4 linked regions of the Anolis sagrei genome follow. The main gene of each other region encodes a partner of the protein of the gene in region 2 in a complex. Links are inferred from orthologs where the notes say so. Each region holds a gene or a part of one and is shown on either strand. Other genes may lie near its edges. The genes, in order: CACNA1S, CACNB2, CACNG1 and STAC3.

Region 1 (7,416 bases), on a different chromosome or scaffold from region 2:
GTCAATTGGGGTTCAGTAGTTGAGGCAATCTTTCTCCAAAAAGGGTAAAATGAATTCTGGGATCCTTTTCCTCTATCTATAGATCTGGATTAGCTATGGAGGCAACTGCTCAATACTAGCTATCACTCAATGAAGTCAATATTCCATTGACTTCTCTATAACTATCTAGACAATCCTCTATAACTATCTAAATAGTTCTCTTTTAATCTATCTATCTCTAACTAAATAACTCAATCAAACTCAATTGTTTTCTATCTATAACTCAATTGTTTTTACAATGGTATCTTCGGAGGTACCTGTCTGCCAACAGCACATCATGGATTCTTCCTTAAGACTGAAGGGGCAGGGAGACCTCCAAAATGGATGCTTCTACCCTGGAAGCAGGGGTGGGCCCAAAGAGCTACTGTTTGGCCAATCATTGCAGGGAGCCTGCAAACTGGCTTTCCTGCTTCTGGCTGCTAACCTTTTAGGCCTTGCAAAGGCTGCAGCAACCTGGGAGAAACACAAGGAGAGGCTGTTTCCAGCAACTAAAAGGTAATGCAAAACCCATGCTCCTGGGAGACGGAACAAATTGTATCCACCTAAGCAACAGTTGCCTCGGGATGGAAAGATGAAGTGAAAAGGGAATCTTTTTAAATGGCTCAAATATTTATCACAGTATATGCTCCAAGACTACATATGTGAAAGAGAACAAAATATATGAATGGTCATCCAAAGGAGAACTGGAAGTTAAAGTGGAATGAGATTATAGTCAGAGCAAAGGGGATAGGAAAAATATAAGGATCTGAACCAAAAAAAAAAATTCACAATTGAACCAATAATATAAACCAATGAGAAGAGTTACATCTGTTCCTGAAAGGAGGGGATGGGAGTGGAATTGTGGAGATAATGGATAGGTATAAGCAATGGATAGGTATAAGCAATAGATGTTTGAACTGTAAAAGATAAAATGTAATAAACAGAATGTATTATATGAGGTAAAAAACAATAATAAATTGTGTATATGCAATTGTGACAATGTTACAAATTAGTTACATCTAACCAATAAAAAAATTAATCACAGGTAATAATAATGACATATGAAACTCCACAGCAAAACTCAGATATATTCAAGAGCAAATTAAATGACAGAAGTTTGCTGCGTGTGTGTAATGATCACTAAGATGAAAGAGAATGGTAGTTTGAGTTGCTATAACCTAGAACAGACACGGGCAAACTTCGGCCCTCCAAGTGATTTGGATTTCAACTCCCACAATTCCTAGTAGCCTACTGGTAGGCTAATAGCTGGTAGGCTATTAGGAATTGTGGGAGTTGAAGTCCAAAACACCTGGAGGTCTGAAGTTTGCCCGTGCCTGGCCTATAGGCTGGCACTTGGAAAATCTCCCTCCCCTACCACCTCCACTCATATCTTACTTTAGGCAAACTGGCTACTGGCAAATCCATTTGAGGGTCTACTCATGCCTATTTTAGGGTTAACCCAAGATTTCATTACATTTCCTCAAAAAGAGGGGGGCCAGTTTAGAGTCTATACCAAATGTCAAGTCACCACTTTAAACAATGTTGACAGAAGATAAAGAATGACCTAGCTTTTAATATTGCAGACAACCATGAACACTTATTCAATGAAGGCTACACATATATTACAAGTTTGGGGACCCGTAATGCTGCTGTTATAATAATAACTTGCTAATATGTTTCAGAGCTGTCCTATTCATCTTAAAATGATTACTACCCAGAGGCTATTACGTGGATGCTATTTTTAAATAAACTGTAATCCATGGTCCATTACAAGCATCAGGAGCTTTGCCAAGCACTCTGCAGTTCTCACTCAGGACTTCAGTGAAAACAATAGAACTTTAACAAGATGTAAATGAGATGCTGTAGGCTAGGCCTGGGTGTTGTCTCCTCTAAAAACAATGCAACAATGGATGAATATTTGGCTTTGGTTTAATTGCTCATTGTTTTGTCATTGATTCAGATGTGCTGATATTTAATAGAACAAAAATATTTATGGGCCATATAGCCCATTGAAAAGATGGTCTATCCTAGGTATGGGCAAACTCAGGCCCCAGGGGCCAGATGTGGCTCCTTGGGTTCTTTTCTCAGGCCTTCTTCCCTCACTACATCCCATCCTTCCTTCCTTCCCTCTTTCCCTCCCTCTTTCTCTTACTCTTCCACCATTTCATCCTTCCATCCCTCTCTCCCTCTTTCTCCTTTTTTCCTTCCTTCCTTCCTCCCACCCTTCTCCTTTGTCTTTCCTTCCTTCTCTCTTTCCTTTATCATTTCCTTCTTTCCTTCCATCCTTCCCTTCTACCCTTCATCCTTCCTGCTCTTTTTCCTTCCTCCTTCCATTCCTTCCTTCCCTTTTATCTTTCCTTGCTTCCCTCTTTCCTCCCTCCTTCCCTCTCTCCCTCTTTCTCCTTCCATTCTTCCATCCTTCCTTCCTTCCTTTCCTTTCCTTTCCTTCCTTCCTTCCTTCCCTCTTTCCTTCCTCATTCCCTCTTTCCTTCCTCATTCCCCTCCTTCCTTTCCTCACAGGGCAGCCAGTCCTCCTAGCAGGGAGTGCTAGCATGGGGCCTCCAAGTTAGAAAGTTTTCCCATGCCTGATCTAGCATTTCTAGTCACTATGGAAACTATCATGTAGATCTGAATATTTCAAAGAAGCAGCTTTAGCAAGATGACAAGACCTGTGATAAACAGATGAACAGAATGAAACAGAAAGTAGCAGTGGTCGGCAGCCCCATGGTCTGTTGAGGCTGAAAAAAATGGCATTACGGCTGGCCAAAAGAGCCAAAACAGCTGGAGCCCAGTTTGAAAAATAGATCCATGCACAATCCTAATAGGTACAAGTTCCAGTGTGAACATGATCATATTGTACCTGCCTATGAGGATCCCCTTAAAGAAGATGTGTGGGGGAGGGGGGGCGGGGGCGGGGCGGCGGATAGAACTAAACAGTAAACAATGGCAGAATAGAGCTAATCACTAAGAACTCTTTTTTGAGACAAATCAATCAGTTTAAATCTCAAGTTATTTTTATCATGTTTGTGAAGAAATGGCCTAAGCTTCCAGTTAGCACATTATGATTATTTTTGTCTAAGTAAGACATAGGACTTCCCTATGTGTAGATTTGAAGGCTACTTCCAGAGCCTCTGGATCTCAAGGCCTGGTCTTGTGTTTTAGATTTGACTGATATTCTATGATTCATGAAACAAGGGCGTGAAATTTTCGGGTGAGAAAGTTGTCTTTATATATAGTACGTCACATACATTCCACATTTCTTTGATTCTAAGATGCACTTTCTTTTCTGTATAAACAAGTCAAAAAAGTCTTAGAATTGCAGGTGCTTTTTGATATATCTAAATAATACTTTTTTGTTGGTGGTACTGGAATTAGTATGCTTCTTACAATTGATGGTGTCTTAAAACTGAAGAAATATTGTGTGTATGTGTGTGTATATATATTCATACATATATATATATATGTATATATGGTCTCCGTTACTGTGTGAAATCTTGACTGTTTCAAGACCATCGAAGTATATACCCGTATATACTTGAGTATAAGCCAACCAAATATAAGCCGAGACATCTAATTTTACCACAAAAAAGTGGGAAAACATATTGACTCGAGTATAAGCCAAGGGTGGGAAATGCAGCAGCTACTGGTAAATTTCAAAATAAAAATAGATACTAATAAAATTACATTAATTGAGGCATTAGTAGATTAAATGTTTTTGAATATTTACATAAAACTGTAATTTTAGATAAGACTATCCAACTCTAAACTATTATTCTAACCTTCTTCAATGTAAATGTGCTTTCATATCCTTCCAATACCAATAAAGAGAGTAAAATAATAAATGCAGTAATAATAATAATAGTAATAATAATAATAATAATAATAATAATAGTAATAATAATAATAACAGTAAAATAATAAATAACCCTGACTCGAGTATAAGCTTAGGGGGTGCTTTTCAGTCTCAGGGCTGAAAAACTCAGCTTATACTTGATTATATACGGTAATCCATACACTACTAATGTTGAAGTGGCTTTGATCCTGATAATACAGGCAGCAGCTACTCCTTTATAAATCTGTCAAACATGAATCAAAGTGAATTAAAATGTTCCTTTTCTAAGCGCTGATATGTGAAGCCCACCTCCCCACCCACATCCTTTCCCCTGACCTGGATTGGTAGCTCAAAAATGGCCATGGATTGAGAACGAAGAAGGAACAGCTGTTCCTTTTGCTGTCTCAGGAAATCTGACAGCCCTGGGAGCCAGGCTGGGGGCTAATTATAAACTCTGCGCTGGGTGTATTTGTGTCTGTGGGAATGTCATTCCCAGCCCCACATCCCACACCGCCTTGATAAGTTTGGCTCAGCAGGAAAGAGGTCCAGAGGGGGCTTCAGCCGCCCTTGTGCTGGGGAAGGGTGGGGGGCTGGTTGAAGAACAAAGGAGAGCCAAAGAAGGGGCAAGACAAGTCTGCCTGGAGTAAGCAACTGAAGGAGAGTGATCATGGAGGCCACTTTGGCCCAAGATGACAGCTTGAAGAAAAAGCAACAAAAGGAAAAAGCTAAGAAAGCAGCCCTGGAACTTCCTCCCAGGCCTCCTCGATCTCTCTTCTGCCTCACTCTCCAGAATCCAGTGCGCAAAGCCTGCATCGCTATTGTGGAATGGAAGTATCCTTCGGTGAAAACTATGGGGCTGGCTCTAGGCTGACGTGTATGTGCTATGGGCACCAGCTGAAACCAAAGGCAAAGGGCTGGGGAATATTTATTATCAATGAACCTCTCTTGTGAAAGATAAACCCTGAATATGATTTTCTCTTCTCTAGAAATGCTAGAAAGCCACTAAATTTTGGCATTTATGTCTGAGAGGAGAAGCAGGGAGATGAGGAGGGAAGGAAGGTATTTAAGAGAAAAGTACTGCATTGATCCAGTCTGAATTGGTAGGTGGACGTGAGTGTGATTTGGAAAAAAATACTGTAGCAGGAGTTATAGTCTTCTGTGGCCATTCATAGATTAAGAAACACTTGGAAATGTACAACTGTAGAATCCATTATGGTTCAAAAGGATATGTCATGGATTCCAAAAGAGATGCGTATGAGTACAGAATGAATGTTTACAGGTTATTTCATCTAGCTTCTCAACTTCAGTACATTGAATATAGATACAGCTTCTTCCCACTTTTTACATATCTTTGAGGAGTCTAATAACATTCAATTCAAGGGCCAATGCATTTTACTCTGTTGTGAAGATTAATTTTGCTTAAGAGTCAATATATTGCTTTATTTGATGTGAGGATATAATTTTCTCAAACTCAAAATGAGCTATCAAGCCTTCTTTGATAGCATGGAGCTTACCTTCCTACCATGTAATGTAATTATGTGGATTATGCTATGTCTTGTTCATTTATATTGATCTATAATTTATTGAATTGTCTTCAATTTGTTGAGTTCTTTATATATTATTGTGGGCATGGAATGTTTGTCATGGTGTATTTTGTTGTAAGTCGCCCTGACTCCCTTCGGGAAGATAGGGCAAGCTATAAATACAGTTTCATTTCATTTCATTTCATTGCTTGCTGGAGTAATCAGATTTTTAAAACAAGCTATTTCTGGAAATGTGCAGACCTGTCTCCTATGCGGTGGCTTTTTTTCTCCTGCTTTCTGCTTTTGACGTACTATAACTTGGACAAAATGGATTAATTTCTCCAAAGAGCTATTTTTGAAATCTTTTAAGTACTTCTGGGCTGAGAATGGGAGAAGAAGGTCAGGGCTTTGGATTAGGTGCTCTTCTTTATATGTTTCTGAGCCTAATGATTCTATGCTAAAGTTAGTGGCGTAAAAAAGATCATAACTGGAGTCAAGAAACCGATCATTCTTGTATAAGTCATAGAATAAAATAGAAATCCAGTTGTTATTTAATATTGGTTAAAGGATGGAAAATGTAGTGTTAAACTTTTCCCAATCATTTAGTGAAAAAACAATTGAGTTAGGACTGTGTACAGTAGGAAGAAGGCTTGTGTCTTTAAGCTAATTTATAATTTGAACAACAAAACAAATTACAGGTGATGCCAGCAGAAGCCCTATATACTTTGGGTCCAACCTATCCTTGAGACTGCATCTCCTACGAACCAGCGTGGGCACTAAGATCTGCTGGGAGGCCCTTCTTTTGGTCCCACCACCGGCACAAGTACGGTTGGTGGGGACGAGAGAGAGGGCCTTCTCAGTGGTGGCTCCTTGGCTCTGGAATAACCTAAAGAAATTAGATTAGCTCCCTCTCTTCAGGCCTTCTGGGTGAGTCTAAAACATGACTCTTCAGACAGGCCTTTGATCCTGAGTAATCCATGACCAATGTGATGAATCATTAATAGTACTGGCCCACACTTTGATTGATTGTTATGACATGTAGCCAGCTGGCAGGTTTCACTGTGTATTAGGAATGTTGTAATTTTCAAATTCTTATAATTTTATTAATGAGATTTTTATGTGCTGTTGATTATGTCATTGTATTTCTAGTTATATATTGTCGTCTGCATGTGGTGCTTGGAGTGCTTCTGTGAGCTGCCCTGAGTCCCTTTGGGGAGATGGTGGCAGGGTACAAATAAAGATGATGATGATGATGATCTCTCAGTTGGAGAATAAAGATTACTCCCTAAATGCACTGATTTTAGGAAGAATTTGGAAGCTACTGATACAAAGTATAATTGCTTTCTGTTACTTTTATTACACACAGAGTGTGTAACAGTTAAAAATCAAACTTTAAAAACAACATAACAAGTAAGAGCAAAGCTACTTGTACATGTAGCAGCATCTATTATTAAAAGGTACTGTTAATGGCATTAAAGAGCGACTTTGACAGACATTTTAGAGTTTTATGCTAAAACACTAAAAGTTTTTACCTTCAAAAAGCAGCACATTAATGTAAACATAAAAAGCAGAATGTGTAATGTAATAAGTAAACACTCCCTATCATCATCATAAATAGCAGGACAGATCACTTTTTAAAGACTGTAGTAAGTAATGAAATACTTTTGACAAAGGTATTTCCAAGCTCTGATTTTAAGCCCATTAAAGCTAGCAGCAGGAAATCTGACCTGTAAGAGAACAAAAGCACTTGAATTTATGGGAGAGAGAAATTAGATTATTGTCCTTAGAATATAAACGAGTAATAAAAACATCACTCAAGGCTAAAACTTTTACCTCTGTCATGAACCCACCCTCAGTATCTAGCATTGGGTTAGTAATATTGATTTATAAAAGAAATAAATTATGAATATACAGTAACTGAGGTAATACTATTTCTGATAGCAGTAGCAAAAGTATGACATATGCTGAAGCTAATGGAACACTGGCTTGGAGGCTGTTACAAAGAGATGGGCATTTTAGGAGGTGTGAACAGTGCATGAAGGT
Region 2 (7,734 bases):
CTTGTAAATACTCTATGTAAAGGCACCAGCTCCTGTTTGATTTAGGATGTTAAGCATGATCAGCTCTGTTCAGCACTTGGATGGGAGACCACTAATGAATGGATGCTGTAGGCCAGTGGTTCTCAACCTGTGGGTCCCCAGATGTTTTGGTCTACGCCTCCCAGAAATCCTAGGCAGTTTACCAGCTGTTAGGATTTTCGGGAGTTGAAGACCAAAACATCTACGGACACACAAGTTGAGAACCACTGCTGTAGGTGATATTTCAGAAAAAGGACCATGCAAAACCTCTGAGTATTCCTTGCTAAGAAAGCCTATAAAATCTATGGAATGGCCATAAGTCAACAGGTGATTTGTGTGTACAATTTGACACCAGTTTAGCTTGAAGAAAACCCAAACATTGAGGATTTTGCCAAGTAAGTGTCAAGTAAAAATAATGTGTTTTAATGTTTAGAACATTTTCTCAATAGGCTTAAGTTGTAAAAATCCTATTGCCACTAGTGGTTCTAGTTCCAATTAAATAACAATTCTGTTTCTTAGTGAAACTTCAGGCTGGTAGGTTTACAATCCACGCTTTTGTAATATAACCTTAGACTTTTGTTTAATGACACCTAAAAAAGAACTAGTGCTTTTTGTTTGACTTTGAAGATAAACAGTTGCACAGATATGTGAATGACGAGTGATGACAAAACCCATTTTGTAGTGCTGCTTTGCATTCCTCCCTTCCGAGTCTTTCCTTAAACAGTTGCTTCATACAACGGTATGCTTAAATGTAGCAATAGCCTCTTCATAGTTTTTTTGTTAAACATCTCTATGAAGACAGAAACAGAAAAATACGTGAGTGCTTAGGCATATTTCACAAGCCATCTCATATGTTAGTTAGGAAATCTCTTTCCTTTACTGATGTTGTTGTACTCATTCATTGAAAATAACAGCCAAACCAAAAAGTCAAAGGTCACTGATGCATTATTAATGTATGTGTATGTATGTATGTATGTGTGTGTGTGTGTATATATATATATATATATATATATATATATATATATATACACATACACACACGACAAGTGAGGCAACTGGCACCCTACCTATCTGACGAGGCTCTGGCAACTGTCATGCATGCCACAATCACGTCTAGGCTGGACTATTGCAACACCCTGTATGTGGGCCTACGACCCGAAAGCTTCGTATTGTTCAGAATGTGGCAGCCAGGCTACTCACGAGAACGCCCATGAAATGCCATATAACACCAGTGCTGCAACATTTACATTGGCTTCCAACTGAGTACCGTAGCCTGTATAAGATGCCAGTTCTGACCTTTAAAACTCTTTACGGCCAGGGTCCATCGTACCTTAGGGACCGCCTCTCCTTCTCCCATCATTGGAGGTTGCAACGACCAGCCCAACGTGACTTACTCCATATACCGGGTCCTAGAGAAGTGCACTTGGAAAGGACCAGGCGCGGGGTTTTTCTATTTCTGCCCCTGCCTTGTGGAATTCCTTGCCGCCCTACATGAGAGCCATGCGTGACTTAGGGCCTTTTACTCTCGCACTTAAGACCTGGCTTTTTACTAGAGCATTCAATCTCTGTTAATTTTTAATTTTTGTATGTATGTATTTTATCTTTTATAATTTAGTTGTAAATTGCCTAGAGCATTCTCGGATGGAGGGCGATTAATAAGTTATTAAATGATGATGATGATGATATATATATATATAACCATAGCGTCTTCCTGGAGGACTAAGGCTCCCTCTTAATATTCTACAGTTGTTGTTTACAGATGAACATTAAGAAAATGAAACTAATGACCATGGATGATTTATACAACTTGATGAAGACATTGAAATGGTTCAAGATTGTCCGTACTTTGGTACAAATATTAATCAGAATGAATAATTCAGTCAAGAACTTAGAAGACTAGGGGTGAATGTACACTCCAGAATGGATGCAGTTGGACACCACTCTATGCAAAGCCAATCTTAAGAAATGGACTACAAAGTGGAGTCCATGATATGCGACTGTGGAGAAGAGTAAACCACAGGCTACTGACTACAATGCAGCCTGAGCTCCGCCACATGCACAATGACCTACTTATGGGAAAACCAGAGGAACTTGAAGTGGCCAGCTTCTGGAGAAAGGAAATTTAGTATAATGCCAAGTTTTAAACTTTGTGTGTGGGGTTTTGGCCCCTTGGTGGTGCAGTGGGTTAAACCGCTGAGCTGCTGAACTTGCTGACCGAAAGGTTGGTGGTTCAAATGCAGGGAGTGGGGTGAGCTCCTGCTCTTAGGCCCAGCTTCTGCAACCTACCAGTTAGAAAACATGCAAATGTGAGTAGATCAATAGGTACAGTGTCTGCAGGAAGGTAAAGTCACTCCATGCAATCATGCTGGCCAAATGACCTTGGAGGTGTCTATGGACAATTCTGGCTCTTCAGCTGCATCACCCTCCAGAGTCGGACATGACAGGACTTAATGTCAGGGAAAAACCTTTACCTTTACTTGTGTCTTTTAAAATACATTATAATTGTTTTCTTAATTCACCTGACACGATAAAGAAATAAATATTATATATACCCCACTTTTTCTCTTCACAAGGAAACTGTCATGGAAGTTGTAATTTGACAAGGTCTTTAGTCTTGGGTTCCTCTGCACTGTAGAAATAACATAGTGCTGCATCACTTCAACTGACAAGGCTCAATGCTATATGGAGTCATGAAAGTTGTGGCTTTGCAAAGGCCCTGTCAACTAGATCTGGGCAAACTTTGTCCCTCCAGGTGTTTTGGATTTTAACTCTCACCATTCCTAAAAGCCTCAGGCCCTTTCCTTTCCCCCCTCAGCCACTGGAATTGTGGGAATTGTAGATCAGGCCTGGGCAAACTTGAGCCCTTCGTTTGTTTTAGACTTCAAGTCCCACAATTCCTAATAGCTCCAAGCTGAGAGGGAAAAGGAAGGTGCCCGAGGCTGTTTGGAATTGTGGGAGTTGTAGATCAGGCCTGGGCAAACTTGGGCCCTAACTGGGAAGCCCTGGCTCTTGAGCGCTCCAGCTGGAGGTCAGCTGTGATCAGCAGTGCTGTAGAATTTGGAGATGCATGAATGGAAGGCGAAAGGGAGAAAGTGCCAAGAGGAAGGCACGTCAAGCCAACTCCGACCACGACTGCCTTCCACCTGGAAACCAATGCTATCACTGCAGGAAAACATGCAGATCAAGAATAGGGCTCCACAGTCACCTACGGACCCACCGCCAGTACACCAATCTTGGAAGATAATCCTACTCGGACAACGAGGGATCACCTAAGTTAAGTTTGGACTTCAACTCCCACAATTCCTAACAGCCTCAGGTGGAGTTGAAAAAGGAAAGGCCTGAGGCTGTTGGGAATTGTGGGAGTTGTAGATCAGGCCTGAGTAAAGTTGGGCCCTCCAGGTGTTTTGGACTTGAACTCCCACAATTCCTAACAGTCTCAGTCTGAAGGGGAAAAGGAAAGACCCTGAGGCTGCTAGGAATTGTGGGAGTTGTAGATCAGGCCTGGGCAAAGTTGGGCCCTCCAGGTGTTTTGGACTTGAACTCCCACAATTCCTAACAGCCCAGGCTGAGAGGGGAAAGGAAAGGGACCGAGGCTGTTAGGAATTGTGGTAGTTGTAGATCAGGCCTGGGCAAACTTGGGCCCTCCGAGTGTTTTGGACTTCAACTCCCATAATTCCTAACATCCTTAGCCTGAAGGGGGAAAGGAAGGTGCCCAAGGCTGTTTAGAATTGTGGGAGTTTTAGATCAGACTTGGGCAAACTTGGGCCTTCTGGATGTTTTGGACTTCAACTCCCACAATTCCTAACAGCCAAGGTTGAGGGGGGAAAGGAAGGGGACTGAGTCTGTTAGGAACTGTGGGAGTTGTAGATCAGCCCTGGGCAAACTTGGGCCCTCCAGGACTTCAACTCCCACAATTCCTAACAGCCTCAGTCTGAGAAGGGAAAGGAAGGGGCCTGAGGCTGTTTGGAATTGTAGATCAGCCCTGGGCAAACAGTAGATTAGGTCTGGGCAAAATTGGGCCCTCTGGTGTTTTTGACTTCAACTCCCACAATTCCTAACAGCCCCAGGTTGAGGGGGGAAAGGAAGGGGCCTGAGGCTGTTTGAAGTCCAAAACACACGGAGGGCCCAAGTTTGCCCAGGCCTGCTCTATAGAGTGGTGGTGATGCCTCACCAAACTACAACCCCCAGGACTCTAGCTAGCCTTCCAAGTGTTCCCATTCTACAACGTGTGGATGCAGGCCAATCCCTTGAGGAGACATAGTAAACCTTCCAACTTTTCTGAGGAGGAGCTGCTGCCCAAACTCGACAGAGCTCTGCTCCTTTCACCTTCCTATCTTCCCCCAACCATCTTTGGCTTTTCTAAAGGCAAAACATGAGGCATCTTCGCGGTCGTCTCCCTGCTTTTCATCAGCGAGGACTGAGGAGGAGGAGGAGGAGTCGTTGCCTCCCCTTTTTTTGCTGGAGCGGTTGCCATGCGCTGTGTTTTCCTTGATTGAAGCAGGGCGAGGCGAGCGGCTCTTTTCCTCCCCTCCCTCCCTTTCTTTCCTTTCTCTCTTTATTTTCCTCCCCATTTCTTTCTCCATCTCTTCAGTCAGCAAGAGAAAAAAGAAAAGAAAGAATGGCCCATCCCTGAGGCAGCAGCAAAAGCCGTGCTCGTGGAAGAGCAACAATAGTAACAATAACTGCAACAACGGAGGAAGAGGAGGCGGTGGCTGCTCAAGAAGAAGGAGAAGAAGGAGACGGAGAGAGAACTCCTCAGCTGAGGAGGCGCTTTGTTCGTGGAAACTCTCTCTGTGTGACTTGTGGGCTGCTTGCTTTCCGTCCCCTCTTCTCCAATGGTCCAAAGCGACATGTCCAAGTCGCCTGCCGCCCCAATCTTGGCGTCGCAGGAGGTGCAGATGGAGCTGCTCGACAATAATAACCCTCCGGCTCTAGTCACGGCGGCGCAGGTATGGTAGAAAGGCGAAGGACGAGGATGAGGTGATGGCATCTACACCGCAGAATCCTTGCAGATTCACACTCGCCTGCTTGATGCCTCGCCAGGCTACGACTCCCAGGGCTCCATAGCATTGAGCCATAGCAGTTCAACGCGGTTTCTTTCAAGCTGCATTCATTCCACATTGCAAAGGCACCTTACAGACAGCCACTTTTCTTCCCTCACATTTTGGGGAAGTTTCAACCGCCTTTTGTGCCTTTTTCTTCCAGCTTGAGATGGTTTGTGCTCAAGTTTTGATATTGAACCTCTCAGGGTGCATCTTCTACCTCGTAGAATTGATGCAGCTTTGGCAGCAGCACTTTATGACTCTAGCGATACAACCTACAGTCTTTTACAGTCTTGGGAAGTTTTAGTTCCTCTTTGTGCCTTTTTCTTCCTTCAGTCTTTCTGAGGAGACTGTGTTTGGAAGGGAAAGCTGAGGAAATTGTGCCCAAGCTTTGATCTTGAACCTCTAAGGGTGCATCTTCTACTCTGTAGAATTAATGCAGTTTTGGCAGCACTTTATGGCTCTATACAACCTTCAGCCACATTTCTTTTACAGTCTAGGGAAGTTTTAATTCTCCTTTTGTGCCGCCTTTTTCCTTCAGTCTTTCAGCTTCTGAGGAGACTGTGTTTGAAGGGAAAGCTGAGGAGATTGTTCGCGACCAAGCTTTGATCTTGAACATCTCAGGATCCATCTTCTACTCTGTAGAATTGATGCTGTTTTGGCAGCACTTTATGACTCTATACAATCTTCAGCCACATTTCTTTTACAGTCTGGGGAAGTTTTGGTCCCCCTTTTTGTCTTTTTCTTTCAGTTTCTGAGGAGAGGGTGTGTTTTGAAGGGAAAGCTGAGGAGATTGTTAGTGACCAAGCTTGGGTCTTGAACCTCTCAGGATGCATCTTCTACTCTGTAGAATTAATGCAGTTTTGGCAGCACTTTATGGCTCTATACAATCTTCAGCCACCTTTCTTTTGTAGTCTGGGGAAGTTTTAGTTCCCCTTTGTGCCTTTTTCTTCAGTCTTTCAGCTTCCGAGGAGAGAGTGTGTTTTGAAGGGAAAGCTGAGTAGATTGTGAGTGAACAAGCTTTGATCTGGAACCTCATAGGGATGCATCTTCTACTCTAGAATTAATGTAGTTTTGGCAGCATTCCTTTATGACTCTATCTATACAACCTACAGCAACCTTTCGTTTACAGTCTGGGGAAGTTTTAGTTCCCGTTTTTGTCTTTTTCTTTCAGTTACCTTGGAGAGACTGCGTTTTGAAGGCAAAGCTGAGGAGATTGTTAACAACCAGTCCTTGATCTTGAACCTCTCAGGATGCATCTTCTGCTTTGCAGTTTTGCAGCACCTTTTATGGCTCTATACAACCTGTAGCCACCTTTCTTTTACAGTCTCAGGAAGTTTTAATCCCTCTTTGTGTCTTTTTTTTCCTTCCATGTTTCAGCTTCTGAGCAGAGAGTGTGTTATGAAAGGCTAGCAGAGGAGATGGTTAGTGCCCAGTACTTGATCTGGAACCTCTAAGCATGCAACTTCTACTTTGTAGAATAAATGCAATGTTGACGGTAGCACTCTATCTATAGAACCTACAGTCACCTTTCTTATACACCTTTCTTATATTTTTCCTTTCAGCTTCTGAGGAGAGAGTTTTGAAGGGATAGCAGAGGAGATTGTTAGTGACCAGTCCTTGATCTTGAACCTCTCAGGATACATCTTATGCTCTATACAAGTAATTTAGTTTGGCAGGACTCTTTATGGATCTATACAACTTACAGCCACCTTTCTTTTACAGTCTCGGGAAAGGAAAGCTGAGGAGACTGTTAGTGATCAAGCTTTGATGTAGAACATCTCAGGATGCATTTTCTACTGTGTAGAATAAACACAGTTTTTGCCAGCAGGTCTTTGTGGCTGTATCTATAGAACCTACAGCCATGTTTCTTTTATACTCTGGGGAAGTTTCAATCCCCCTTTGTGCCTTTTTTCCCCTTTCAGCTTCTGAGGAGATTGTTAGCGACCAGTCCTTGATCTTGAACCTCTCAGGATGCATCTTCTGCTCTGTAGAGTTGATGCAGTTTGGCAGCACTTTTTATGGTTCTATACAACCTACAGCCACCTTTCTTTTACAGTCTCAGGAAGTTTTAATCCCCCCTTTTGTGCCTTTTGTCTTCCTTCAGTCTTTCAGTTTGTGAGGAGAGACTGCATTTTGAAGAGAAAACTGAGGAGATTGTCAGTGACCAGTCCCTGATCTGGAATTCTAATGGTGAATCTGTTTTGGAGAATTAATGCAGCTTGGCAGCCCTTTAGCTGTCATGGCTCAATGCTGTGTAATAGTCCAAGTTGTAGTATTACAAGGGTGCAACTACACTATAGAATGGATGCAGTTTGACACATCACTGAACTGCCCTGGCTTAGTGTTACAGAATCATGGGAATTGTAGTTTTGCAAGGGCTTTAGCCTTCCCTGCCAAAGAGTGCTGGTACCTCACTGAGTCCTGCTAGTTAAAAGTGGTGTCAAGCTGCATTCATTCCACGTGGTAAAGGCACCTTACAGCCACTTTCCCCTCAGTTTGGGAAAGTTTCAATCCCTCTTTGTGCCTTTTTTCTTCCTTCAGTCTTTCAGCCTCTGAGGAGATAGCTGCATTTTGAAGAGAAAGCTGGGGAGGTTGTTAGTGTTAAAGGTCCTTGTTCTGGACCTTTAAGGGTGTATCTACTTTGCATTTTGGCAGCACTTCATCTGCCATG
Region 3 (8,199 bases), on a different chromosome or scaffold from region 2:
AGCTTTCTGCAAAGACCCGCAACGCGTTGCTGTGGCCAAACTTCCCTCCCCCTTTCTCTCCTTTCTTTCTCTCCTTTCTTCCTTCTCTTTTTCTTTCCTTCCTTCCTTCTCTACCTCTTTCCTTCCTTCACCTCCCTTTATGTTTCCCTTTTCCTTTCTCTCCTTTCTTCCTTCTCTACCTATTCTTGGACTGTAACTCCCAACAGTTCTCCTGATCAATTGATCTATTTACATACCTATCTATCTCTATCTAATCCATCTATCTTATCTATCTGGAGGATTGCTGGGAGTTGCAGTCCAGGAATAGGAAATATGCAGGGATTGGGATGCTCTCAAAGAAATCCAAGGAGAAGCAAGCTTTCCTCTTGGAAGCAGTGCATTTGGATCATGGTCCTCTCCTAAAGGTCCTGGTCTAGAGAATGCTGGGAGCTATAGTCCTGAAGAGAGTGTGGATGTGCTATTCTGTGTTTTGTTTGCTAGGGAGGGTTATTTTTGTGCATGTGCTGTAGTGTCGTTTTGCTTTTTTGGCTTTTGAAGTCCCTTCCGCCTTGTTTTTCAGTGTTTTTTATGAGTGATGGTCACTTGTTGGCCTCACAGGTGTGTTGTGTCCAAATTTCGTGTCAGTTCACCCAGTGGTTTTTGAGTTATATTAATCCCACAAATGAACATTACATTTTTTATTTACATAGATGTACATAGTCACATACACACTAGCTGCCTAGAGTCTCTATATTGGGAGAAATGAAGGATAATCATAAAGTAAATAAAGTAAACCAATAAACACAATTCCCACCTATAGTTTTGCTCCCATATAAAAAAAATATAAAGGTCCTAAATACAAATCTCCAGAGGACAAAAGCTGTGCCATCCTTTCTGGGAATATCCCCTCTACTCCTTTCTAACGTGCAAAGAGCCATTGCCTTCCTCATGTCCAGGTTATTCCATTATAAACTCCACCCCATAGTGTGGTATGGGTTGTCACCAGTTCTCAAAGCCCATAAGAAGAAGAAGAGTTGTTGGGTAACCCCAGAGTCCAGAACCCATGAGGCCTGAGATATCTTAGAACCCTTCCACCTAGCCATATAATCCAGAATATCAAGGCAGATAATCCACAATATCTGCTTTGAAGTGGGTTATCTGAGTCCATACTGCCATATAATCAGTTAAATGTGGGTTTTATACAGCTGTGTGGAAGGAGCCCAATTCAACCTGCCTGGATATCTCTGTTCAGATCTAGTGGAGCAGAAGAGTCCTGTCAGAGACCAACCCAGGAACCTAAATGCACAGAAGTTAGGAAAAGCACATGGTAGAGCAATGGTTCTCAATCTGTGGCTCCCCAGATGTTTTGGTCTAGAACTCCCAGAAATCCTAGCCAGTTTACCAGCTATTTTGGCCTTGGCTATTTTGGTAAACTGGCTAGGATTTCTGGGAGTTGTAGACCAAAACACCTGGGGACCCACAGGTTGAGAACCACTGTGGTAGAGGATGGGAGAGTATGTTGATCAACACTATCCCATACACATGTGCCTTTATCAATAGTCTGAGTGGAACCGATATGCCTATATGAGCCAGTCACTTCTACATGCATGTGCATGATCAACTCAAACCTTGAACCAATGCACAGAGGCAACAAGAAAATCAGCTTTTACAACCACAGTCTACCTCCACCACCCAGACCTATTGATCTGATCACTTCATTACTTGAAGAGGGGCTCTGCGTAATAAAGTTGAGGTCCTAGGCAGAGGCAGCCCTAGGTAATTTTCAACGGTGAGCAAACAGTATTTTGCCCCCCCCCCCAAAAAAAAACCAAAACCAATCACTGATATATATTTTCTGTTTGTTGTGGGAGTTCTGTGTGCCATATTTGGTTCAATTCCATCATTGGTGGAGTTCAGAATGCTCTTTGATTGTAGGTGAACTATATATCCCAGTAACTACAACTCGCATATGTCAAGGTCTATTTTCCCCCAAGAGCGCCTCAAGAGCGCCCCTGGGCAAAATCAACTATACTGCAAAGGCTTACTTTGCGTAATGGTTGAGCCGCCCCTGGTCCTAGGTCAAGCAACAACAGTAGACATGCCAGATCACTACAGCACTCCTCATGTAAGCAACTCCTGGGATTTTGTTATCTGTGTTGCTTTCTACTGTCATACATGACGATGTACATAGATGTGATTACTTCTAGCTATGATGTACCTGTAGATGTTTTAGTTGCAGTGAAATGGCTCATTGCCGACAGTCCTCTATTATCTTAAGCAATTAAAAGTTCTTCAGAGTAGCTTTTGGCCATAAACTAGTTTTATATTTTGATGTATCCCCCCTCTTCTCCCCGCTTACATAATTATCCAAATCAGGAGCACTATTTAATGGAAATGCTGGCAGTACGTGATCTGAAACTGTAGGGGTTATATAAGCCAATCTCCCCCCACCCTTGCCATTCGGATAAAGATTTATGTCAGACTTGGCAAGGCGGGGTTCGTTGACACTCCTGTGATCAAAGGCTCCAGAGAAAGCATATTTCGTCTTCTGTCTCCTCTTTGCTTTTCACCTCCCCCCATCATTTCCCTTCAGAGTAGGACAGCACCAAACATTAACACAATACATGCCAAGGAAGCAGAAAGATCCTCAGGGAAGTGTGAAAAAAGAACATCGCTTTGGGCTAGCTCAAAAGCAGCATTGGTAGTGACATTTCCATTCTCCCAGCATGCCCTCTCACATTCAAGCTGCCTTGCTGTTTTAAGGTATTCTGCAGCGCATTGTCAGGCGGTTATATGGGGACACCTACCTCCTGGCAGGCTTAATGGCCCACAACCCTGCTCTTTGTCCGTCTCATTTTCTTTCATGAAGATCCGTTTTATACAGATCCGCCAGAGTCCAAAGTGGGCCATCTCGCAGGTAGCGTTGTACTCTTCTACCTTAGGACTCAGCACGGCCCAGTGGTCCGTCACCACCGCTGTGAACATTAAGACGATGCCTATCAAAATGATGGTAAAAGTCACCCGGACTTTCAAAGCCTTGCCTTCGGTCATGGCTGGGAGGCTTAGGCCAAGACGCAGTAGTGCAGGCCGGTTCTGGATTAATCTGCTGGTGACAAGGAACACTGCAAGTCATCTGAGTTGTCTTCCAAAGTCTTGGCGTATCTAAGCATGTTCAAATGTCAGCCCTGCAGTGGCAAAGAGGAGTAGCGAGGAGAGGGTTGGGGGAGGCAAGCAGCAGCACTTACAGCTGTTGAGATGTATCAGATGACCAGTCGGGCTGTGAGTGAGGCTTCTATTAATGCACAGTTTGGGCGAAGGAATAGGCTGCTCAGATTACGGCTGCCGGGATTTGCTCTGGGAATTCCAAAGGCTGTCTTGGAGCAAAATGGACTTAAGGGAATGAATAACCACCCCTATAGCAAGCACCAGGCTGGGGGTTGTGTAGATGTATGAACTGAAAGCTATAAATACTAACACATATGCTGGAAACCTCTGTGCAAGCAGACCAAATAAGGCAATAGAAAAGGTTGAATTCAGCAATCTGTGCTTGTGTGTTTGGGTGTGCACACTTCTTGTTACACAATTTATTTTGCTATTGCTATTCATAGGGAGGGACTAAGAGTAATGAATGGTATTGGAAATCCCCTGGTTACCACATGGGGTTCTCCCCCATACATTGTGCACAAGCCCGTAGCCAGGATTTTGATTCGGGGGGAAGGCTGAGTTTGATTCGGGGGGGGGGGGGGGGATGAGGATCTACCCTAACAAACCTTTTGTATCACTATCCCAATACCCCCATGCATATGGGATATATTGAGCATGGTGATCAGATCATGATATGAATAAACATAACACAGACCTATAAACCCATTTTCCTAGTTCCAACACACTTCATTACCTCTGAGGATGCTTGCCATAGATGCAGGCGAAACGTCAGGAGAGAATGCCTCTAGAACATGGCCATATAGCCCTAAAAACCCTACAACAACCCATAAACATAACAGTTTAAATAATGTACCAGTAAGGCCTTCTCGCGGACTACCCTGAGAATTTGGGGGTGGTGGTGGGGGGTGAAGCCCCTCAAGTTGTCCCCCCCCCCCCCCCGGCTACGGGCCTGATTGTGCATAAACCAAGATGGTAAAGATGGCTTTGTAACTGATATAAGAACCCAGGGCTATTGTTGTTCATTTGTTCAGTCATCTCCGAGTCTTCGTGACCTCATGGACCAGCCCACGCCAGAGCTCCCTGTCAGCTGTCACCATCCCCAGCTCCTTCAAGGTCAGTCCAGTCACTTCAAGGATGCCATCCATCCATCATGCCCTTGGTCGGCCCCTCTTCCTTTTACCTTCTACTTTCCCCAGCATAATTGTCTTCTCCAGGCTTTGCTGTCTCCTCATGATGTGGCCAAAGTACTTCAACTTTGTCTCTAGTATCCTTCCCTCCAATGAGCAGCCGGGCTTTATTTCCTGGAGGATGGACTGGTTGGATCTTCTCGCAGTCCAAGGCACTCTCAGAACTTTCCTCCAACACCACAGCTCAAAAGCAATACAGCAGGACTCAAAACAAGGACCACACTATACTAGGAAGGAAGTCTAGTTCTTCCCCAATTTCAGACTGCAGTAACAACCCTTCCCTACCCGCAGTCCTTGAAGGAAATCTGCTGTTCACTTCAGTGGACAGAAGTAGTGACAGATCCTTTTCTACATAGTCCTCCCAATTCTAGTCCCCCCCCCCCTCCCCCATTGTTTTTGAAATAATAAAAAATAACTATGAAGGAGGTGAATGCAGACTCAGTCATGGTAAAGTGGGTTTTTTTTATATTACATGACAGGAAAGTGCTTTAATAATAATAATAATAATAATAATAATAATAATAATAATAATAATTTATTTATACACCACCCTATCTCCCCTAGGGGACTCAGAGCGGTTTCCACATATGCAAAATAATACAAGAACATACAATATAGATGCAAGCAAAACGTCAGGAGAGAATGCCTCTAGAACATGGCCATATAGACTGAAAAAACGTACAACAACCCAAGCTTATTTAAAGTTGGAAAATGTACACAGGTTAAGCTGCAAGGATAGTGTGAGCTACCAGAGGAAGCAATGTAAGGTTTATTCTTATGGCATTCCTGTTGATCCTTTCTTACACTCATGCCTCAGGAATGTGCCAAAGAGCCTTATGGTACCTTGAAAATGAACAGATCTATTGTACCATAAGCTTTCAAGAACTGAAGGCACTTTCATTCCCAAAAGGGTCTGCTACAGTAAGTCTGTTAAGTTTTGGGTGCTTCTCTTGCCTTGAACAGAGTTCAGAAAAGTTACATTTTTGACTATAATTTCCCAGGACTCCCTAACAGACATCCCAAGTTGAAATCCAGAATGTAACATTTCCATGCTGTGCCACAGACAAAAGTCACTCCTCTGGAGTGGTATGACACCTTATTTCTGTTTGAGAAACAGTTGTAAAAAAACCACAACGCTTCATAAACACTTCATAAACTTCCTTGTTACCAGAAGTAGATCAAATTAAAGGAATAAGAAATGTTTGTTACCTTTCTGGTTCTCAGAAATCCATGCATATTTTGGTAACCCCAATAGTATTTTTGCATTTCAGGACCCGTCCACACAGTACTTTTATAAAGAAGGGGCTGTCCAGACAACGCTTTGGACAGCTTCGAATTAATTCACTACAAACCATGAAAACCCTGGTTTGTAGCGAATTAATTAGATAATAGATTTACTCCATGCCTTCTTGGAAGGCGAGGGATAAACCCACTATTTCTGGTGTCTGGATTGCAGTCCAGACATCATTCCACGGTTTTCTGGACTAAATTAGTCCGGAAAACTGTGGAAATACCCACCCCTTTCCCCCAAAGAGGGGCGTAGAAATGACACATCAGGAGAGGGGGGAGGAGGAAACCCCCCCTCCCGCTTTCCTGGCATGTCATTACTATGCACCAGGAGAGCTGCTCCAAGAGTGCACTGGAGGCTGGGTAAGTTTATTTTACTTTTCAGAGGGGTCTGAGAGCATTGGGGGAGGGGGGTAGTGCCTCCAGATGGACACCCATCCCAGAAAGTGTGCGTTTTCTGGGGTGGGAGTGGATAGGCCCCCAGAAAAATCCACATTTTAAAAATGCGGATTCTCCTGGGATAAAGACCTGTCTGGATCCACCCTCAGAGGATTTTTCTTCTTATCCTTCTCTTTCTACTTCTGATGCAATCATTACTACTTCATGGGAGGATTGTTCTAATCATAACTTAGGGTGTCAGTGGTTCTCAACCAGTGGGTCCCCAGATGTTTTGGCCTTCAACTCCCAGAAATCCTAACAGCTTATAAACTGGCTAAGATTTCTGGGAACTGTAGGCCAAAACACCTGGGGGCCCACAGGTTGAGAACCACTGATAGAATTACTTACTTACGTACTTAGGCGATCCCTCATTGGCCGAGTAGGATAGTCTTCTGGGATCAGTGTGCTGGTGGGTCCGTAGGTGATTGTGGAGCCCTATTCTTGATCTGCATCTTCTCCCGCAGTGAGGGCATTGGTTTCCAGGTGGAAGGCAGTTTCAGTCGGGGTTGGTTTGACGCGCCTTCGTCTAGGCATGTTTCTCTATTTCACCCTCCATTTGTGCCACTTCAAATTCTTCAGCATTGTTGGTCATAGCTGACTTCCAGCTGGAGCGCTCTAGGGCCAGGGCTTCCCAGTTCTCAGTGCCTATGCTAGAGTTTTTAAGGTTGGCTTTGGTAGAATTAATGTAGTCTGGCACCACTTTAACTACCATGGTGCAGTGCTATGGAATCATGACAATTGTAATTTTTCAGTGTCTTTAGACTTCTCTGCCAAAGAGTGCTGATGTCTTACCCAACCACAAATCCCAGGATTCCATAGCATAGTTAAAATGGAATCCAACTGCCTTAATCCTTCAGTGGGGATGCACTCCTAGTTACTTTCCTTTCCACTAGGGCTTGGCAGACCAATTTTCAACAAACCTCATATGATTCCCAAACAACCAAGACGGCTGTCAAAAGGAACTAGGGCGCTTCTGACTCAGGTCTTTCATTTCAATTGCACTGCGCTCTGCATTCACAAAGGAAAGTGGAGAGTGTCACCCGAGGTGACTATGATTTCAGATAAAAGGAAGAAAAAGCAGTAAGAAAAAGAAGTAGCTCAATTATAGCAAATAGTCCCGTCCCCCCCCCACTCCACACACACGTATCCCTCACAGAAATCAAAATGCCTTGATGATTGGCATCTACAGTTCTAAGAGATTCCGGCGAGACAGATATGATACCACTCCCCGTTTTCAAATTCCAGTTCCCGAGTGTGCTTCAATGGTCCATCCCAGGGAAGGCATTCCGCCCTACTTAAGAGTGGCTTCCCATCTTCAAATAGCCTTGCAAGCAATTCCTGGTCATTACACTCAGGAGTAACTGAGATGTATACCATCAGAATAACATGGGGGAAGGTTGTCACTAAGTAGAAACTTTACATTAAGTTTCACTGAACTTGCTGGTAAATTCCTTAGAAGGGGTTGATTATGTCTGCTCGGGCCTGCTCATAGAAACTACACGACAGTAGAATGTGGTAGATGCACTCTACTTCCTGTTTGTTACATGGGCAGAGTCTTTCATTGTATGTATGTTGTTGTTGTTTCGTTCAGTCGTTTCCGACTCTTCGTGACCTCATAGGCCAGCCCACGGCAGAGCTCCCTGTCGGCCATCACCACCTCCAGCTCCTTCAAAGTCAATCCAGTCATTTCAAGGATACCATCCATCCATCTTGCCCTTGGTCGGCCCCTCTTCCTTTTCAATTCCATTTCCCCCAGCATCATTGCCTTCTCTAAGCTTTCCTTTCTTCTCATGTTGTGGCCAAAGTACTTCATCTTTGCCTCAACTATCCTTCCCTCCAATGAGCAGCCGGGTTTTATTTCCTGAAGTATGGACTGGTTTGATCTTCTCGCAGACCAAGGCACTCCAGAACATTCCTCCAGCACTACAGTTCAAAAGCATCTATCTTCCTTCACTCAGCCTTCCCTATAGTCCAGCTCTCACATCCCTAGGTGACTATGGGAAATACCATTGCTATAACTATGCGGATCTTCGTTACCAGTGCGATGTCTCTTCTCTTCACTATTGTATTGAGATTGGACATTGCTCTCCTCCCAAGAATTAAGCGTCTCCTGATTTCCTGGCTGCAGTCTGTGTCTGCATTT
Region 4 (7,682 bases), on a different chromosome or scaffold from region 2:
CCATGTTATCCCATTTTTTGATATCAGGCTTGTTTAGATCTAAACACCCACTCCTAGAGTTCCTAGTCAAGTCCAATACAAGCTATTTACCTTTGATCTTCTTTTACTTTCTGTTAAGGCTGGAGATTTGGTCATTTTCTGTTTTTAAAAGTTTCATCCAGTTCAAGCAAACAGAATTCACGTGTATAGATCCATTTCTAATATGCATTCCAATAAAGTTTTGTCTAACTCAGCATAGGACCAGGGGAAGCAATAGGTGATATTTCAGGGTATAACTCTCCTTAAGGGTTTCCAGATTTTGGGGAACTACTGTGCTTTCCTGGTTCTCCAGATAAAGACACTGATCTCAGGATGAGCAATGCTGGAGTGATATTTTTAGGTATGAGGTGGCCTTAAAATGTGGGTATGTGCCTCCACCCATTCCCAGTTGATATTGTGATTCATTGGCTCGTCTTAAAAGCGTTGCATGCATAATATGTTTGAGCAGCCTCGGTACACCGAATAGGGGAAGGCGCTAGGGTGAGACACAGTGAGTGCTCACACTGAGGCTCAACGTGGTAATTTGGAGCAAGGCCCAACCCTATGACATCACAAGAATCCTCTCCCTGGTTCCAGGTTTTGGCCCTGAAATCTCTGGGATGCTGTTCGCTTGGCAACCTTGCTCTTATCACTCTCAGGTGGCATATGATCAGTGTTCAAGGAGCCCCTGGTGGCGCAGTGGATTAAACCCCTGTGCCGGCAGGACTGAAGACCGACAGGTCGGTTCGACTCCGGGGAGAGGCAGATGAGCTCCCTCTGTCAACTCCAGTTCCTCATGCGGGGACATGAGAGAAGCCTCCCACAAGGCTGATAAAAGCATCAAATCATCCGGGCGTCCCCTGGGCAACGTCCTTGCAGACGGCCAATTCTCTCACACCAGAAGCCACTTGCAGTTTCTCAAGTCGCTCCTGACACAACAAAAAATAAATAAATCAGAATTCAGAGGTTAAAACAGTTTTAGTTCAAAAAATCTGGATGGCACAGAATGAACAGCACCAAGGGTATTTATCAGTTATATGGATTTATAACTAATCTGAGTATTCCTGCATTACAGGAGGTTGGATTGAATGTGCCTTGTGGTTCCTTCCAATTATACGATTCTGTATCATCTATTCTAAGGTCACAGATCCTTGGAATGTTGTTTAATTTGAGTGAGTGCTAAGAAGCAAAAACCCATAGAGCTATAATTTCCAGGATTCCTGAGAGTTCACAACTGTTGAAGAAATTTAACTCTGCAATAAAATCTGCTCAAAGGATGGCATCAGACTTAGAAAGCTATGATGATATATGTTCCAGAGATGGAGTTTATCTGATCAAGTGAGACAGTACAGAAGTTTCTCGACAGATTGACACTCTTGTTTTCCATGCCGCACTGTTTTTCTCAAGAGGGTATGAGACAGAGTCTGGAAAAGTTTGAGCAGGGAGGTTAGATTACAATTCACAAGACACACCAGCATGGCCAAAGGGGAGTTGCCAGGAGTAATTCATTGTCAAAAGAAACTTGTACACAAACGGAGTGATACGTCATCATGTGGTCATTAACATTTGATGAGCTCAGACAGCATCCAGCACTGAAAAGGTACAAACAAATACCACACTCCTTTATAAACTAGATGCTGGGAAGTCCAGTTCCTTAATCATGGATGTGTAAGGACAATCTGTGCTAACTCAAAAATGAGGGAAAGGCATTCTCCACACATTCTTTATTATTCTTACTCCAGATACTTTAGCTTAGTGTAAAAAATAGTGTTGATGCTTACCCAACACAACTTCAGCCCCAGGTAAAAATCCAAATATATGCTTCTAAACATCTCACTAAGCTGACTGAAAATACATCAAGCTGCACATTTTTCCAAAATTTTCTAAAAGTATTATTAGTAATGAACAGAAAGACTGGACCACAATATCACACATGGAAACAATTCTTGGCCCTCAAGGCAATTCTTTTCTTTTGCTTCCCAGTATCCCATTTCCGAAGCCTTTATGACAGTCAAGGAGTGGCTAAACATGACACAAGGTACTTGTGTGCCATTACCCACGTCATTGGCGGGACGTAAGTGGAAAAGCATTTTGGCTTTCCATTCTGTAACTGCTCTGGTGTCTGTGTGTCCACAAATGGATCCAAATCTCATAGGAGCCACCCATCTCAGGTTCCTAGAGATTTCATCATGGCTGCCTGGAGCTCCACCAGAAACTCTCCATTACATGGTTGGGACACCAAAGAACAGCCTCCAGCATAGAACAAAGAACATCACATGCACCATATTGGTGTAAAACTCAACTTCTTGCTTTGAACATCTGAAATAGCTGCTTTCCCAAGGACAAAATCTTCCTTGCTCTTCAAAGAGGAAGGACAAGCCCGCATGTAATCTCCTCAGAGCTTCTACAAAGGGCCAAAAACGTCCTTCCCTGTCTTTTCAAAATGGCAAGTGACTGAGAGGTACTAAACTTTCCCTGCTTAGCAGCAAATTTCATTGGAAATTATCCGTCTGCAGAAATCAGGTGACAAAAATGAGCATGCTTTGGGAATGTTTCAATCTTTGTTTACAAAAGCTTTGGTGGGAGAGTTTCTGTATGTGTGAGAATCCCACACAATCCTTAACTGATAAGACTATAGGAAAACAGAACATTTCTGCAGTATTATCTGTCCTTTGAATCTCTTCCTACCCTCAGCCAGAAAAGGAGTGTCAACCATTTTATGTTTCAACAGACTGAAAGACATGCATTTATCCATCTTATGAAGCCAATCAGATTAAAATGGGTAAAATACACTGGCAATCAAGAGGACAGCTTTTCGACAGTTTGCGTGAAAAACAACTGTCATGTTCATAAGCATTAAAACTCCAAAAAAATTTCAGGTCTCCATGTAGGGGGAAAACAGACTATACCAGTACCCAATGGGGGAAAAGTGGAAAGCACTTACCTCCAAGAATAAAGCTACCACTTTCCAGCAGATTAAATCCTTCTGAAAAATATCAGACACTCCTGAAAATTCACTTTCTTCTGTCTGGCCCAATATCTCACTTTAGAGATCCATAGGAGATAAAGAGTTTCCCCTTGCCAGGACTTAATGTATAAAAGTTTGCTGTCCCAGCACCGCGAGGAACTCAAGTGACAGGGTGAGAGGGGAAAAGACAGCTGCCATCCATTGGGAGGGCTGACACAGAGAAATTGGACACTGGCAAGGAGCTTTAGCATGAATAGTAGGCCAAACTGCCTGAGACAGCAACGCAACAGCTCAGTCCACTCCCTGGGGATTGGTAGGAACTGTCAAAATAGTGTGTATGAGAGAGAAAGATGGAACCTAACTACGACTCATTTGCCTATGAGGTCTCAAAGAGACATTGCTGCCTGGATCACACATTCACCAGCTCAGATCTACAAATTTGTACCTCATCAGGTCATTCCAGAACAAGATGGCAAGGGAGGGAGAGAGGCAGGAACATGGAGAAGACATTGGACTAGAGCTTTGAAAAACTGCTGGGGTTGGGGAGGGGTTACAATTCCTTGTCAACCTAACCCATTGTTCTCCCCTAAGGATTTTGGGAGTTATAATCCAAAAAGTTACTTCAACAAGCTGTGCACAACGCACATACACACAATCCTAATATTTCCTCTATGACCTTTTCCGTGAAGCTTATCTTCCTTACAGATAGAAGTGCTTCACAAAGTACAATAGAGTTTTGCTTATCCAACATAAATGGGCCAACAGAATGTTGGATTAATGAAAGTGTTGGATAATAAGGAGGTATTCAGGAAAGTGCCTATCAAATGTCAGATTATGTTATGATTTTACAAATTAAGCACCAAAACATCATGTTTGGCAACAAATCAACAGAAAAAGCAGTTCAATACATGGTAACGTTATGCAGCAATGATTGTATTTACGAATTTAGCACCAAAACATTGTAATGTATTGAAACAGCTGTGGATCGAGGCGGGAGGCAGACTGCATTAGATAATATAGAACGTTGGATGAGCGAAGGCTAGATAAGCAAGACTCTACTGTACAATGAACAAGACTGACTTCCACATTTATTTATTTTATTTAGGGCATTTGTATCCCATCCTATCTCAACCCCTGCAAAGGGACTCAGGGCAGCTACCAACTGGCCCAGCATAGTGCCAACAACAGAGTAAAACAAGCATAAATATACATATTATAATAAAACAATATAAAAACATTTAAACAGTTCTCCAATTTAAGTCATCATCCTAAAACCAGTCCAACATAGTCCATTAAAACCATTTCTTTGCCAGCAAATCAGTCTAATGTGTGAACGCTTGATCCCACGGCCAGGATTTCACTTTTTTCCCGGAAGGTCAGGAGTGATGGAGCAGTTCTGATCTCATTTGGGAGGGAATTCCATAGCCGAGGGCTACCACCCTCGTTCCAGCCAAATGCGATGGCAAAGGTGGAGGGACTGAGAGCAGGGCCTCCCCAGATGATCTTAAGATCCTAGGTGGTTCATAGAGGGAGATACGTTCATCAACTGTAAATGTGCAAAGTACTTCAATGTGGAGGAATAAAGACATCATCCAAGTACTGTAGAGACAGCATTATTCTTAGAAAATGACTAAGGCAGTAATGGTGGGGTGGGCTGAGAAAATGTAGTTTGCTTAAGGCTGCCTACTAATTTGTCGGCAGAGCAAACAGAATCCAAGGCGCACCTAGGACCCTTCCACACAGCCCTATATCCCAGAATATCAAGGAACAAAATCCCACAATATCTGCTTTGAACTGGGTTATCTGAGTCCGCACTCAGATAATGTGGGATTTTCTGCCTTGGTATTCTGGGATATAGGGCAGTGTGGAAGGGCCCCCAGTTCAAATGTCAGTTTCTCTGGCACTGGGGCTATAATCTTATAACCTCTCACATGGAAACAGTTTCCACTCAAGTTAAAGGGACATATTCCTGAAGAGACATTGGGAAAATTGAAATAAAAGCTAAATTTGCTATATTCTGTAATGTTTTGGTAATTCAAAGGGCCCTTCCACACAGCCCTATATTCCAAAATATCAAGGCAGAAAATCCCACAATATTTGCTTTGAACTGGGTTATCTCAGTCCACACTGCTATATATTCCAGTTCAAAACAGATGTAGGATTTTATTCAGCTGTGTGGAAAGAACCTTAGCCTTGGTATCAGAGAGAGGCGATTAGTTGTAATGGGTCAATGATGCAGTTTCATTGCTCACAAAAAATTATGCCTCTTCTCAAATCTAGAAGCCAAATTAATTGTACAAAACATGCATATGACATTTTACTGTTTTGCATAATTTATAAAGAATTCTAAGTTACTTGGCAAATTCAATATGGTTGTTTTTGAAGCACAAAAACATAAAACGGTTCTACAAATCAACATATTCTGATTTGCAGATCTTTTAGATTAGGGCGATAGTATAATTGAATAACGAATCAGATAACGCTACTATCTGTCTTTTAAAGAAGGACTAAATTAACTTCTTCAGCATTCTTTGATTAATTTCTTCCAACAAGCAGAAAAGATCGGCCAAAGTCTGCATTTTACATTTCCATATAGTTAAGATCTGATACATTGATGAAATTACATTGCAGCCTTCAAACATACCCCATTTAGACATTTTATCTAGGTGAATATCTAAAATGAATAGATTCTGGAGCAGAAGCTTGCCTGGAAGTCAGTCTCCAATCTGGATGTTCTTAACTCTCAATTCTGTATGTTGGCCAGTGCTGTGATGTCTGCATATTTGAGGGAAGTCATTTCATCCATTATTCCAAGTTTGATCCATGACTTTGAGAAAATCAAACTAAATTTTGATCCCTTTGACTCCATCTCACTTCAAAATCCAGAAGAAAGTGGATTTGTGCCTGCCCACTGAATAGATTCTTTCATACCAATATTAAACACATAACAGCTTCTCTTATGCAATATACCAGGTTAAAAAAAATCCTTAAAGTTTTGTCCCCCAATTACAAAATCACTAGTGTTCATTTTTGATCTAGTCAAGACCCTTTCAAAATGCTTTTCAAGTCAGTGGTGGTACAGTCAGCCCTCTTTATCCACAGATTATGCATTCACAGATTCAACCATCCATGGCAAATACCAAGGGTGCTAAAAATACATTTTAAGATAGGAAAAGGCAGAATTAAAATTGTAATAATATATATCACATCACAAACACAAAAGATAAATACAAGTCACATTTGGCTTCTGCAATTACAAGAGGTGCTCAAAATAGTTACCATCAGCTTCCAGACACTTCTGATTATGGTGGACTATGCCTGAGCATCGTTGACCAAAGTGTGCACTAGTATCGCTGTGCATGCCATTTCAATTTATTCCCAAAGTATTGCCAGTGTAGCAGGTTTCTATGGTACATCACATCCTTTAAGGTCTCCACAGATCAGTGGTTCCCAACCTGTGGTCAGTGAACTGCCAGTGGTCCAGAATGAAAATATGGTCTGCGGCTTAACCATTACCATACAGTTGCCTCAAAACCACGAAGCAACAAGAGTGATTGGTCTTGCAAAACCCTCTTATAGTCCTAAGGCAATGGGGATGTCGGTAGGGGAGAGGCTGACTACCCACGAAAGATTACTACTACCACAGCTGGCACGTGTTCTGTATCAGAAACTAGAGCTGATGTGGCCTTTGCAATGCAGTTTTCTGAATCAGCACCCCAAATAACCAAACAAATCCAAAGTTGACTAAAAACTGATTCGTAATCCTTTTGGTACTAATGTTGGAGAGTGGTCCCTGGTCAAAAAAGGTTGGGAACTACTGCCATGGAGTGTTAAGTCAAGGGGTGTTAAGTCTGGAGAACGTGGGGGAAATTTGGCTGCACCTCTTCATTCTTCTGTTCAATTTAAACTGTGCTTTGTCAGATCAAATCATTTTCTCCACAAACTCATCCTTCTATACTATTTTTTGGAACCAGTCACAGTACTGAACCCTGAGATCAGGGCTGTCTTCATTCAGTGCATGTAATAATCTTGAGGTGAAAACTTCCCAATTTACTGATTTAAGAATGTGCCAGCTAATTCCTGTCTCATGTGCAATTTGATTGGTAGACATCTCCGGTGAGTGTGTAAACTGTTCCAACATCATAGGAGAAGCAGGACTTGTTGCTGTGCAACGTCTCCTGAATCTTCCCTTGTGCACATCACACACAGCATCATGTGTCTCAAACTGATCAGGAACAACTGCATTTGTTAGACACTTTGGATGTTCTGTTGCCTCTATTGTTGTTTTACTTCCACAGCATTCTCAAACTGCAAATAGCATTTCAAAATGGTTTTGTGCTCCTTAAACAACAACCATGCTTTCAACATTTTCTTTGATCACCTGCCTGTCTCATAGTGATGATAGTATTCATTTGATTAATGCCATCTTTTGAGCGAATGTCATACTACACATTGCTACTGTAGTTCAATTCACCATTAAAAATACATAAAATGTGTATACATTTTGCACCCTCTGTATTTAAAAAGATTCCCAAAAGCAAACCTTAATTGTTCTATTTTATATAAAGAACACAGTTTTGCTACTCTGTTGTACATAATGGGACTTGAGCATCCATGGATTTAAGTGATCACTGGGAGAACTTATGTATTTTAGAACCAACCTCGAAAGGATATTAAGGGCCAATTATACCAATTA

The links.
Region 1: CACNB2 (region 2) and CACNA1S share a complex: the UniProt entries of both Homo sapiens proteins name them as parts of the calcium channel complex. The link is inferred for Anolis sagrei from reciprocal best matches to the Homo sapiens genes CACNB2 and CACNA1S.
Region 3: CACNB2 (region 2) and CACNG1 share a complex: the UniProt entries of both Homo sapiens proteins name them as parts of the calcium channel complex. The link is inferred for Anolis sagrei from reciprocal best matches to the Homo sapiens genes CACNB2 and CACNG1.
Region 4: CACNB2 (region 2) and STAC3 share a complex: the UniProt entries of both Homo sapiens proteins name them as parts of the calcium channel complex. The link is inferred for Anolis sagrei from reciprocal best matches to the Homo sapiens genes CACNB2 and STAC3.

The regions. Positions count from the first base shown.
Region 1 is NC_090024.1:185,706,421-185,713,836, reverse strand, and holds the start of CACNA1S (voltage-dependent L-type calcium channel subunit alpha-1S), read left to right. Parts: upstream 1-4,330; 5' UTR 4,331-4,517; coding exon 4,518-4,681; intron 4,682-7,416. UniProt on the Homo sapiens protein: Pore-forming, alpha-1S subunit of the voltage-gated calcium channel that gives rise to L-type calcium currents in skeletal muscle.
Region 2 is NC_090026.1:106,409,673-106,417,406, forward strand, and holds the start of CACNB2 (voltage-dependent L-type calcium channel subunit beta-2), read left to right. Parts: upstream 1-4,489; 5' UTR 4,490-4,853; coding exon 4,854-4,967; intron 4,968-7,734. UniProt on the Homo sapiens protein: Beta subunit of voltage-dependent calcium channels which contributes to the function of the calcium channel by increasing peak calcium current. Plays a role in shifting voltage dependencies of activation and inactivation of the channel.
Region 3 is NC_090022.1:180,612,322-180,620,520, forward strand, and holds the start of CACNG1 (voltage-dependent calcium channel gamma-1 subunit), read right to left. Parts: upstream 3,373-8,199; 5' UTR 3,031-3,372; coding exon 2,787-3,030; intron 1-2,786. UniProt on the Homo sapiens protein: Regulatory subunit of the voltage-gated calcium channel that gives rise to L-type calcium currents in skeletal muscle. Regulates channel inactivation kinetics.
Region 4 is NC_090022.1:185,456,409-185,464,090, forward strand, and holds the start of STAC3 (SH3 and cysteine-rich domain-containing protein 3), read right to left. Parts: upstream 3,189-7,682; 5' UTR 2,963-3,188; intron 1-2,962. UniProt on the Homo sapiens protein: Required for normal excitation-contraction coupling in skeletal muscle and for normal muscle contraction in response to membrane depolarization. Required for normal Ca(2+) release from the sarcplasmic reticulum, which ultimately leads to muscle contraction.